Macaca fascicularis: one gene and its partner. Each later gene encodes a partner of the first gene's protein in a complex. Links are inferred from orthologs where the notes say so. Each region holds a gene or a part of one and is shown on either strand. Other genes may lie near its edges. The genes, in order: FLNA and ITGA2B.

Region 1 (3,802 bases):
CCCGCCGCTGCCGGGGCGGCGGACCGGGATGCCGCCCGGGAACCCTAGGCCCTGGGGGCCCGGGGAAAGGGGATGACGGTGGGAGGGTAGGGTTGTGCAGGGACGGGGCAGAGCCCAAGTGACTTAGGGACGAGAACCACCCCACCCCTCGCAGGAGCCCTGGGGAAGGAAAGTCCCTTGTAAGGCGCGCCGGCTGCAGGCCAAGCAGTCCCGCGCCAGATACTGCTCAGCCTTTCCTCGCTCTGGGGCGCGTTTCCTGCAGCGCCAACGCGAGGCCGCGGGGCTGGGAGCATCCTTGCCCACTCCAGGGCCCAGCGACCCACCCCGGAGCCCGGGTTTCACGTCTGATCAGCCAAAGCCCGGGGCCTAGTGGGGGCATTCCAACGGGCGGGGCGGGGTGGGGCAGTCGCGCCCCCGAAGCCCCACCCCACGGCCCCTCCCCGCAGGAGGCCCGCCCCCTGGCCCCGCCCTCCGCCCGCATTTAAAGGGCTCGCTCTCTCCGCAGCGCAACCTCTGCTTCCTTCCTCGCCTCCCGCGCGCCGAGGTGCCTGCGACTTTAATTAAAGGGCCGTCCCCTCGCCGAGGCTGCAGCACCGCCCCCCCGGCTTCTCGCGCCTCAAAATGAGTAGCTCCCACTCTCGGGCGGGCCAGAGCGCAGCAGGCGCGGCTCCGGGTGGTGGCGCTGACACGCGGGACGCGGAGATGCCGGCCACCGAGAAGGACCTCGCGGAGGACGCACCGTGGAAGAAGATCCAGCAGAACACTTTCACGCGCTGGTGCAACGAGCACCTGAAGTGCGTGAGCAAGCGCATCGCCAACCTGCAGACGGACCTGAGCGACGGGCTGCGGCTCATCGCGCTGCTGGAGGTGCTCAGCCAGAAGAAGATGCACCGCAAGCACAACCAGCGGCCCACTTTCCGCCAAATGCAGCTTGAGAATGTGTCGGTGGCGCTCGAGTTCCTGGACCGCGAGAGCATCAAACTGGTGTCCATCGGTGAGGGACGCCCCGAAGCGCCGGGCGGGCGGGGGCGGGAATTCCGTGCGTCCTTCCATCTCCCCGGGCGGACCCCTCCAAACCACCTCCTTCCGGGCTGCGGCGCAGCTCCCGAGGCCCCCGGCTGGTCTGCTCCACGCGGGCCTGGAGAACAAAGGCGCGCGGGCTGGCGGGCTGGCGGGCTGGCCGGCCGAGCGTGCGAACCGCTACGCGCCCCCGCCCGCCGCGCCCCGGCTGGCCGGCGCCCAGGCTGAACTCACCATCCTCAGCAGGCCGCGCCCCCGCAGATGTGCTCGCGGTGGGAGTGGGCCTGGGGGGTCGGGCACTGGGCAGGCTCTGGCCCTGCGCCCCATCCTCGAGGAGGAGGAGGCCCAGGCTCTCCCCCCACAGCTGTTTAGAGAGGGCCCTCTGGCTTCAAACTCCCCTTGTTTCTAAAGTGTGGGTTGGAGCTCGTGCGTCCCATTGTCTAGGACTCTGGGCTCTTTCTGTCCCTGGAGGATGCGTCGCCCATCGGAGATGGCTCCAACCACCAGTTTAGATCTACCTCCCCCACACACACAGGGAACCTGGGGGCCAGAAAGAAGCGTAGTTAGCAAAACTGTACCCGGAGTTGGGCGTGGTTGACTGAGGGACCTGGCTTGTAGACTACTTGGACGCCAACTTTTCTGTTCATCTTGGGACAAATTCTTGCTTCCATGTTGGCCTTGCTTTTCTGCGTATAGCACGCAGGAGTTGGTTGGTAGATGCTCCGGCGTGCACTGTGCCAGCCCAGTGTCTGTGTCACTGGACTGGTGAGGCTGGCATTGACCAGGCCTGCTGCAGCATCCCAGTTCTTTCTCAAGATAGGGGCTGCTTGGAAGGGCAGGCACCAGAACGGGTGACTTGGGGGTGACGTTGAACAGGGAGAGGAGAGGGATGATGATTCTTCTCTTCTTCAGAACTGAGAGGCCTTCCAGTTATCCCTGCAGCTCTGGAATGGCCCTTGCTGAACCCAAGAAAGTGAGGGACCAAGACTTGGGTTCCCCCAGCCACTCAGAGGGCAGATCCCAAGAATTGAAGTTCTTTCTTTGGAATGCCAGTTGAGGCGAGGGGCAGGCCCACCCCCCCAAGTCCCAGCCTCAGTCTAGCCAAGCTGAGTCATTTCAGAGTCCTGGATGGTGTGTGTGGGGGGGGGCGACCGGATGTGGGGAGGCGGGCCACACCCCAGTTCTTTGGCGGGGGTCTCCTCCCTCCTCCCAGCTCCCCTCCTCCTTGTGAGCTGGCTGGAGCAGGCCTAGTTCCCAGAGCTTTGCCATATAAGGCAAAAAAATGTTGGAAAGCAGCAGTGATTAGGGGAGGGAGGGGCTGGCTGGCCCGGGGGCTGGGGAAAGGGGGTGGGATGGGGCGGGGCCATCCAGCCAGGCAGTCTCCCAGCCCTGGGCCCTGGTCCTTCACACTCTCTTTTGGGAGGGGGATGGGGACGGAGTAGGTTGGCCTAACATGGACCTGGTGGGCCTGGTTGCTCCCGGTGTGGGGGTCGTTAAGGGGTCTCAGGCTGGATTGGGGTGGGGGCCTGATGGGAAGCCCTGGCTGGCCTTGTTCCCTGGCCTTGCACCCTCAGTCCTCTCTGAGCCCCTCTCCCCGCTGTCATTTAGGGAAAGTGAAAGGCAGCCTCGTGGGGCCAGGACCAATCTGGGAACTGGGGAGGCCACTCTACTTTGAGCGGCCCACCTGGCCCTCCAGGTGCTGCCTGCTGGGCTGGGAAGCAGCTGCCGTGGACGGCCCAGCCCCTCCTCATAGACCCACCCCCTAGTTGACTCACCAGAGAAGTATTTTGTCTGATTATGGGAGAGGCTGACAGAGCTTCTAAAGATGAGCTCTTAGAAAGCCCAAACCATCCTGCCTTGAGCCTGAGACCCAGAAGTAGCTTTGGGTGGGGCCCAGAGCCCAGCAGGGTTGCCATGGCAATGGGGGGTGTCGGGGACCCGCCCTAACCACTTCCCCTGTGGCGAGCCTGCCGAGGCCCAGGCCCGTTAGGTGGCAAGTGGATCAGGCAGTGGGTGGCAAGGGGGTTCCCACAGTGTCTCCTGCTGCCAGCCCGGCATCTCCCGATGGGCCCCAGTGAGTCAGGGCCATGTGGCCCAACTGCTGGTTCCTTTGGGCTCTGGGCCTCTCCCCTGGCCGGGCCTGTGGCCTCCCAGCTCCAAGCTTGGGTCTTCGAGGTGGTAGAGGAAGTGGAGGTGGTGGTGGGGGTCACACTCCTTTACCCAAAGGGTGTTTGCCCAACTCCCCCACTTCCCCTGCCTCACCCCACCCACCCTGGAACAACAGTTGTATTTCCCAACCACCCAGGGCCACCCGTCTTCCTCTTCCTCAGCCCCAGCCCCACTCCAGGCCATGGGCCCTGGATTCTGGGCCAGCTGGAGCCAATCTCCTCCTCCTGGTTCCCCATAGGCCCCTGAGGCGGGTGGCAGACCCCTGCTCTGGCAGCTGTGGACACTGTCCAGCTGTTCTCCAGAGCTGACCATCTGTGGGCTGGGTCTGCCCTCTGCCCTTCCTCTGGGCCCAGGGCTTCTGGCAGTAATCATACCCTGCTATCATCGCATGTCTGTGGGTATCTCCCCTTACCCCAAAGTCTCCTTTACTTCTGAACGCCCCCTGGGATGCTGGGCAGAGAGGGCCTCATCCACATCCTACCACTGGTCAAGACGGGGTGTCTCCCTCCTCCTTGGCCCCCCCATCCCGTGCTACCAGACCATGACCCCAAAGCCTGGGAGCGGCCCCTCCCGCACAGCTGTGTGCCCAGTGTAGCCACTCTTGTACTCACAG
Region 2 (4,262 bases), on another chromosome or scaffold:
CTAGGCTTTTAGCTTCCTGTCCTATAAAGGATAAGATTCTTAGCTCTATGCTGAGGTAGTAAATTATGAGGGGACTTCAAAATGGCACAGGGTGGTTGAGCAGGATACAGCAATGGTTAAGTTTGGTCGGAAAATAGAAATCAAAAGGAAAATGTGGCTATGGTTACCCCTAGCAAACCTCTTGAATCTCCTTCCTGAGAACCTGCTTTTTTGGGAAGGCACGAGTGCCAGTAAGACTTGGCACTCCTCCTCTTCCGCTTACCCAGAGAAAATGACAGCCTTTCTGCTCAAAACTCATCCCTTCACTTTGTCACCCTATATTTGCATCTTCCATCCTTAGTGTGTGTTTCCGTCCAGTCGTTCGGCAATACACGTACTACATGTTGGACTCTTGGGTAGTCTCTAGGGCTGTAGCAAGGAGCCTTGCTCCCAAGGGACTCATTTACATAATCCTGTGAACAGACCATGAGTAAACAGTGTGCTCAATACTGTGCCTATGTGTGTTAGCCCATGCGGCCAGCCTGAGGAGTCAGGGAAGGCTCCCCTAGGCAAAGACCCCAACCAGAATCAAGTCTTAATGGTTAGACAAGAGCTCCGTCACCCAAAAAGGATTGAGGGCCTACCTTCAACTGAACAGCTAATGCATAATCTCAGAACCTGTGAGTCAAAATTCCCTGGAATAACTCCACTTTATCCCCAATATCCTTGCCACCTAGACCAAGGTCCGTTCACCACCCTGTCCCCAGCACTGACTGCACTGCTGTGGCCACACTAAAACTTGGCTCAAGACAGACAAGTGAGGAAGCTGCTGCGCCAGTATGGCTGGTTGAGGCCGCCCAAGGTCCTAGGAGGAAGCGGGTAAATGCCATATCCAAAAAGACACAGCAGCCTCAGGTTTTATCAGAGGGCAGCAGCTTCCTTCTCCTTCCCCAACCTCTGGCTAAGTCACAAAGCACCACAGCTGTACAACCAGATGGGGGAAGGGAGGAGATTAGAACTGTAGGCTAGAGTAGACAGGTATGGAGCAGTTCACAATCACGGTATCCCAAGCAGAAAGTGATGGTGGCTTGGACTAGCATGGTGGTATTAGAGATGGGGTAAAGATTCAAGAGACATCGTTGATAGGCAGAACCAATAGGACTTGGTAATAAACTATTCTCAGGAAAAGGGAGGACTCATGGCTTTCAGCTATGAGCATCCAGCCATGAGCATGGCCTCACCCACTTCCTGACAATTCTAGCCACCATGAGTCCAGGGGCTATAGCCCTTTGCTCTGCCCATTGCTCAGCAAGTTACTTGGGGTTGCAGTTTGATAAGAAAAGACTTCCTGTGGAGGAATCTGAAGGGAAGAAGGAGGAGCTGGTCCATTCCTGCCTGGGAGGTTGTGGAAGAAGGAAGATGGCCAGAGCTTTGTGTCCACTGCAAGCCCTCTGGCTTCTGGAGTGGGTGCTGCTGCTCTTGGGACCTTGTGCTGCCCCTCCAGCCTGGGCCTTGAACCTGGACCCAGTGCATCTCACCTTCTATGCAGGCCCCAATGGCAGCCACTTTGGGTTTTCACTGGACTTCCACAAGGACAGCCATGGGAGGTGAGCTATGAGGGAAGTTTGGGTATTGGGAAAGAGCAGGACCCCTCCCCATCACTGCTTCTGGGGGCTTCAAGTTTCCCATTTGTTATGGCAGTTGAGCAAGGTGACTTGTGGGGCCTATTCAGGTTGATTTCTTGTCAAGAATGCTGAGGTCTGGGGGACTGGCTCAGGTGAAGGTGTAAGGGCAGGGCACAGGTGTGGGTGATGGGCACTGAAACTATAGCAAGAACCAAGGGAAGACAAGAGTTGATGCTTTATTTTTTCCCCAAGGGTCAGTTGTATGAACCACACCACCCTCAACACCTTGAAATGTGGAGAGGAGGCTGGGCATGGTGACTCACGCCTGTAATCCCAGCATTTTGGGAGGCCAAGGCGGGTGGATCACCTGAGGTCGAGAGTTCAAGACCAGCCTGACCAACATGGAGAGACCTCGTCTCTACTAAAAAAAGAAAAAAAAAAAAATTAGCTGGGCATGGTGGCGCATTCCTGTAATCCCAGTTGCTCGGGAGGCTGAGGCAGGAGAATCATTTGAACCTGAGAGGCAGAGGTTGTGGTGAGCTGAGATCACGCCATTGCACTCCAGCCTAGGCGAAACTCTGTCTCAAAAAAAAGAAAGAAAGAAAGAAATGTGGAGAGGAGCACATGTCCTAAAATTGATTTGCAGAACTAAAGTTGTCTACCCTCCCCAATCTTGCATTTCTATTCCATTTCCCTCATCTCCACCAACATTATAAATTTTTGAAAAGAAGCAATAGGTCATTAATGGTTAGTATTGATCAGGCTTCAGAATCAAGAGTGCCCAAGATTAGAGTCTTGGCTCCTCTTCATAGTGTGTACCCTGAGCTACTTACCGTGAGAGACACAGTGCCCACCAGCTTCAGGGGGTGGCAATGGGTGGCAATGGCAGATAGCCTTCAAGTGTCAGCCACTTAGGGGATTTCCCTAAGTGGGAAGTCCCTGCTGAAGACAGCCAGTTCACTCAAAGTCCCCTCCCAAGGTGGCCCACATCCAGTGACTGAACAATGAGAAGTGGGCGAGTGGGGAGAGTGGAGGCGGGGGGTGGGGAGGCATTTGATAAGGGTCCAGCCCTCTTTCCCTCTTTCATCAACTCTAACAATTCTTTTTTTTTCTTTTCTTTTTTTTTTTTTTTTTTTTTTGAGACGGGGTTTGGCTCTTGTTGCCCAGGCTGGAGTACGATAGTGCAATCTCCGGCTCACCACAACCTCCACCTTCCAGGTTCAAGCGATTCTCTTGCCTCAGCCTCCCGAGTAGCTGGGATTACAGGCATGTGCCACCACACCCGGTTAATTTTGTATTTTTAGTAGAGATGGGGTTTCTGTCAGGGTAGTCTCGAACTCCCAACCTCAGGTGATCCGCCTGCCTTGGCCTCCCAAAGTGCTGGGATTACAGGCATGAGCCACCACGCCGGGCCTTTTTTTTCTTGTTTTCTTTTGAGACAGAATTTTGCTCTTGTTGCCCAGGCTGGAGTGCAATGGCATGATCCCAGCTCACTGCAACCTCCGCCTCCTGGGTTCAAACGATTTTCCTGTCTCAGCCTCCCGAGTAGCTGGGATTACAGGTGCATGCCACCATGCCTGGCTAATTTTTGTATTTTTAGTAGAGACGGGGTTTCACTATGTTAGCCAGGCTGGTCTCGAACTCCTGACCTCAGGTGATTCGCCCGCCTCAGCCTCCCAAAGTGCTGGGATTACAGGTGTGAGCCACCGCGCCCGGCCAACTCTGACAATTTTGAAAGGTCATTCTAGCTCCAGAGCTTGTGGGTGTTGGCGAATGCTGTCATTGGGCCTGAATCAGCTCAACTCCTTCCTGTGCCCACTCCTGCTTATCTCCCCTCCTATAAGTAGTGATCCCATTGGCACTACTTAAACATTCTGCGGTTAAAAAAAATTATAGACCAGACACAGAGGCTCACGCCTGTAATCCCTTAGCCTCCCAAAGTGCTGGGATTACAGGTGTGAGCCACCATGACTGGCCTATAAAAAAATGTTTTTTGGCCGGGCGCGGTGGCTCAAGCCTGTAATCCCAGCACTTTGGGAGGCCGAGACGGGTGGATCACGAGGTCAGGAGATCGAGACCATCCTGGCTAACACGGTGAAACCCCGTCTCTACTAAAAAATACAAAAAACTAGCCGGGTGAGGTGGCAGGCGCCTGTAGTCCCAGCTACTAGGGAGGCTGAGGCAGGAGAATGACTTTAACCTGGGAGGCGGAGCTTGCAGTGAGCTGAGATCCGGCCACTGCATTCCAGCCTGGGCAACAGAGCGAGACTCCGTCTCAAAAAAAAAAAAAAAAAGTTTTTTAATTAGCTAGGCATGGTGTTGCACACCCACAGTTCCAGCTACTCGGGTGGCTGAGGGGAGAGGATTTCTTGAGCCCTGAAGATCAAGGCTACAGTGAGCTGTGATCGTGCTACTGCACTCCAGCTGGGCAACAGAATGAGACCCGGTCTCAAAACAACAAAATTATTTTTTAAAATTATAGCATTGTTTCAAGAGCATTTGTTATGTATTTGGCTGGGACCATGCTAACCATTACTCGTATTTATTACATTTACTCCTGACCGTTTTGATTGGTTGTGAAAAAGTCATTGGTTGTGAAATTGGTATTCCTATTTCACAAATGGCAGAATTGTGATTTAAACCTAGATCTGCTAGGGT

Evidence for each region.
Region 2: the proteins of FLNA (region 1) and ITGA2B are in contact, whole or in part, in an NMR structure (PDB 7SFT), measured with the Homo sapiens proteins. The link is inferred for Macaca fascicularis from reciprocal best matches to the Homo sapiens genes FLNA and ITGA2B. Residues at the interface, in NP_001104026.1 of Homo sapiens: Thr2263, Gly2267, Ala2268, Gly2269, Gly2270, Leu2271, Ile2273, Ala2274, Val2275, Glu2276, Gly2277, Ser2279, Ile2283, Phe2285, Asp2287, Arg2288, Lys2289, Gly2291, Cys2293, Val2295; in NP_000410.2 of Homo sapiens: Trp1019, Lys1020, Val1021, Gly1022, Phe1023, Phe1024, Lys1025, Arg1026, Asn1027, Arg1028, Pro1029, Pro1030.

Annotation. Positions count from the first base shown.
Region 1 is NC_088395.1:160,361,665-160,365,466, forward strand, and holds part of FLNA (filamin-A), read left to right. Parts: intron 1-505; 5' UTR 506-621; coding exon 622-994; intron 995-3,802. UniProt on the Homo sapiens protein: Promotes orthogonal branching of actin filaments and links actin filaments to membrane glycoproteins. Anchors various transmembrane proteins to the actin cytoskeleton and serves as a scaffold for a wide range of cytoplasmic signaling proteins.
Region 2 is NC_088390.1:65,449,128-65,453,389, reverse strand, and holds the start of ITGA2B (integrin alpha-IIb), read left to right. Parts: upstream 1-1,366; 5' UTR 1,367-1,398; coding exon 1,399-1,586; intron 1,587-4,262. UniProt on the Homo sapiens protein: Integrin alpha-IIb/beta-3 is a receptor for fibronectin, fibrinogen, plasminogen, prothrombin, thrombospondin and vitronectin. It recognizes the sequence R-G-D in a wide array of ligands.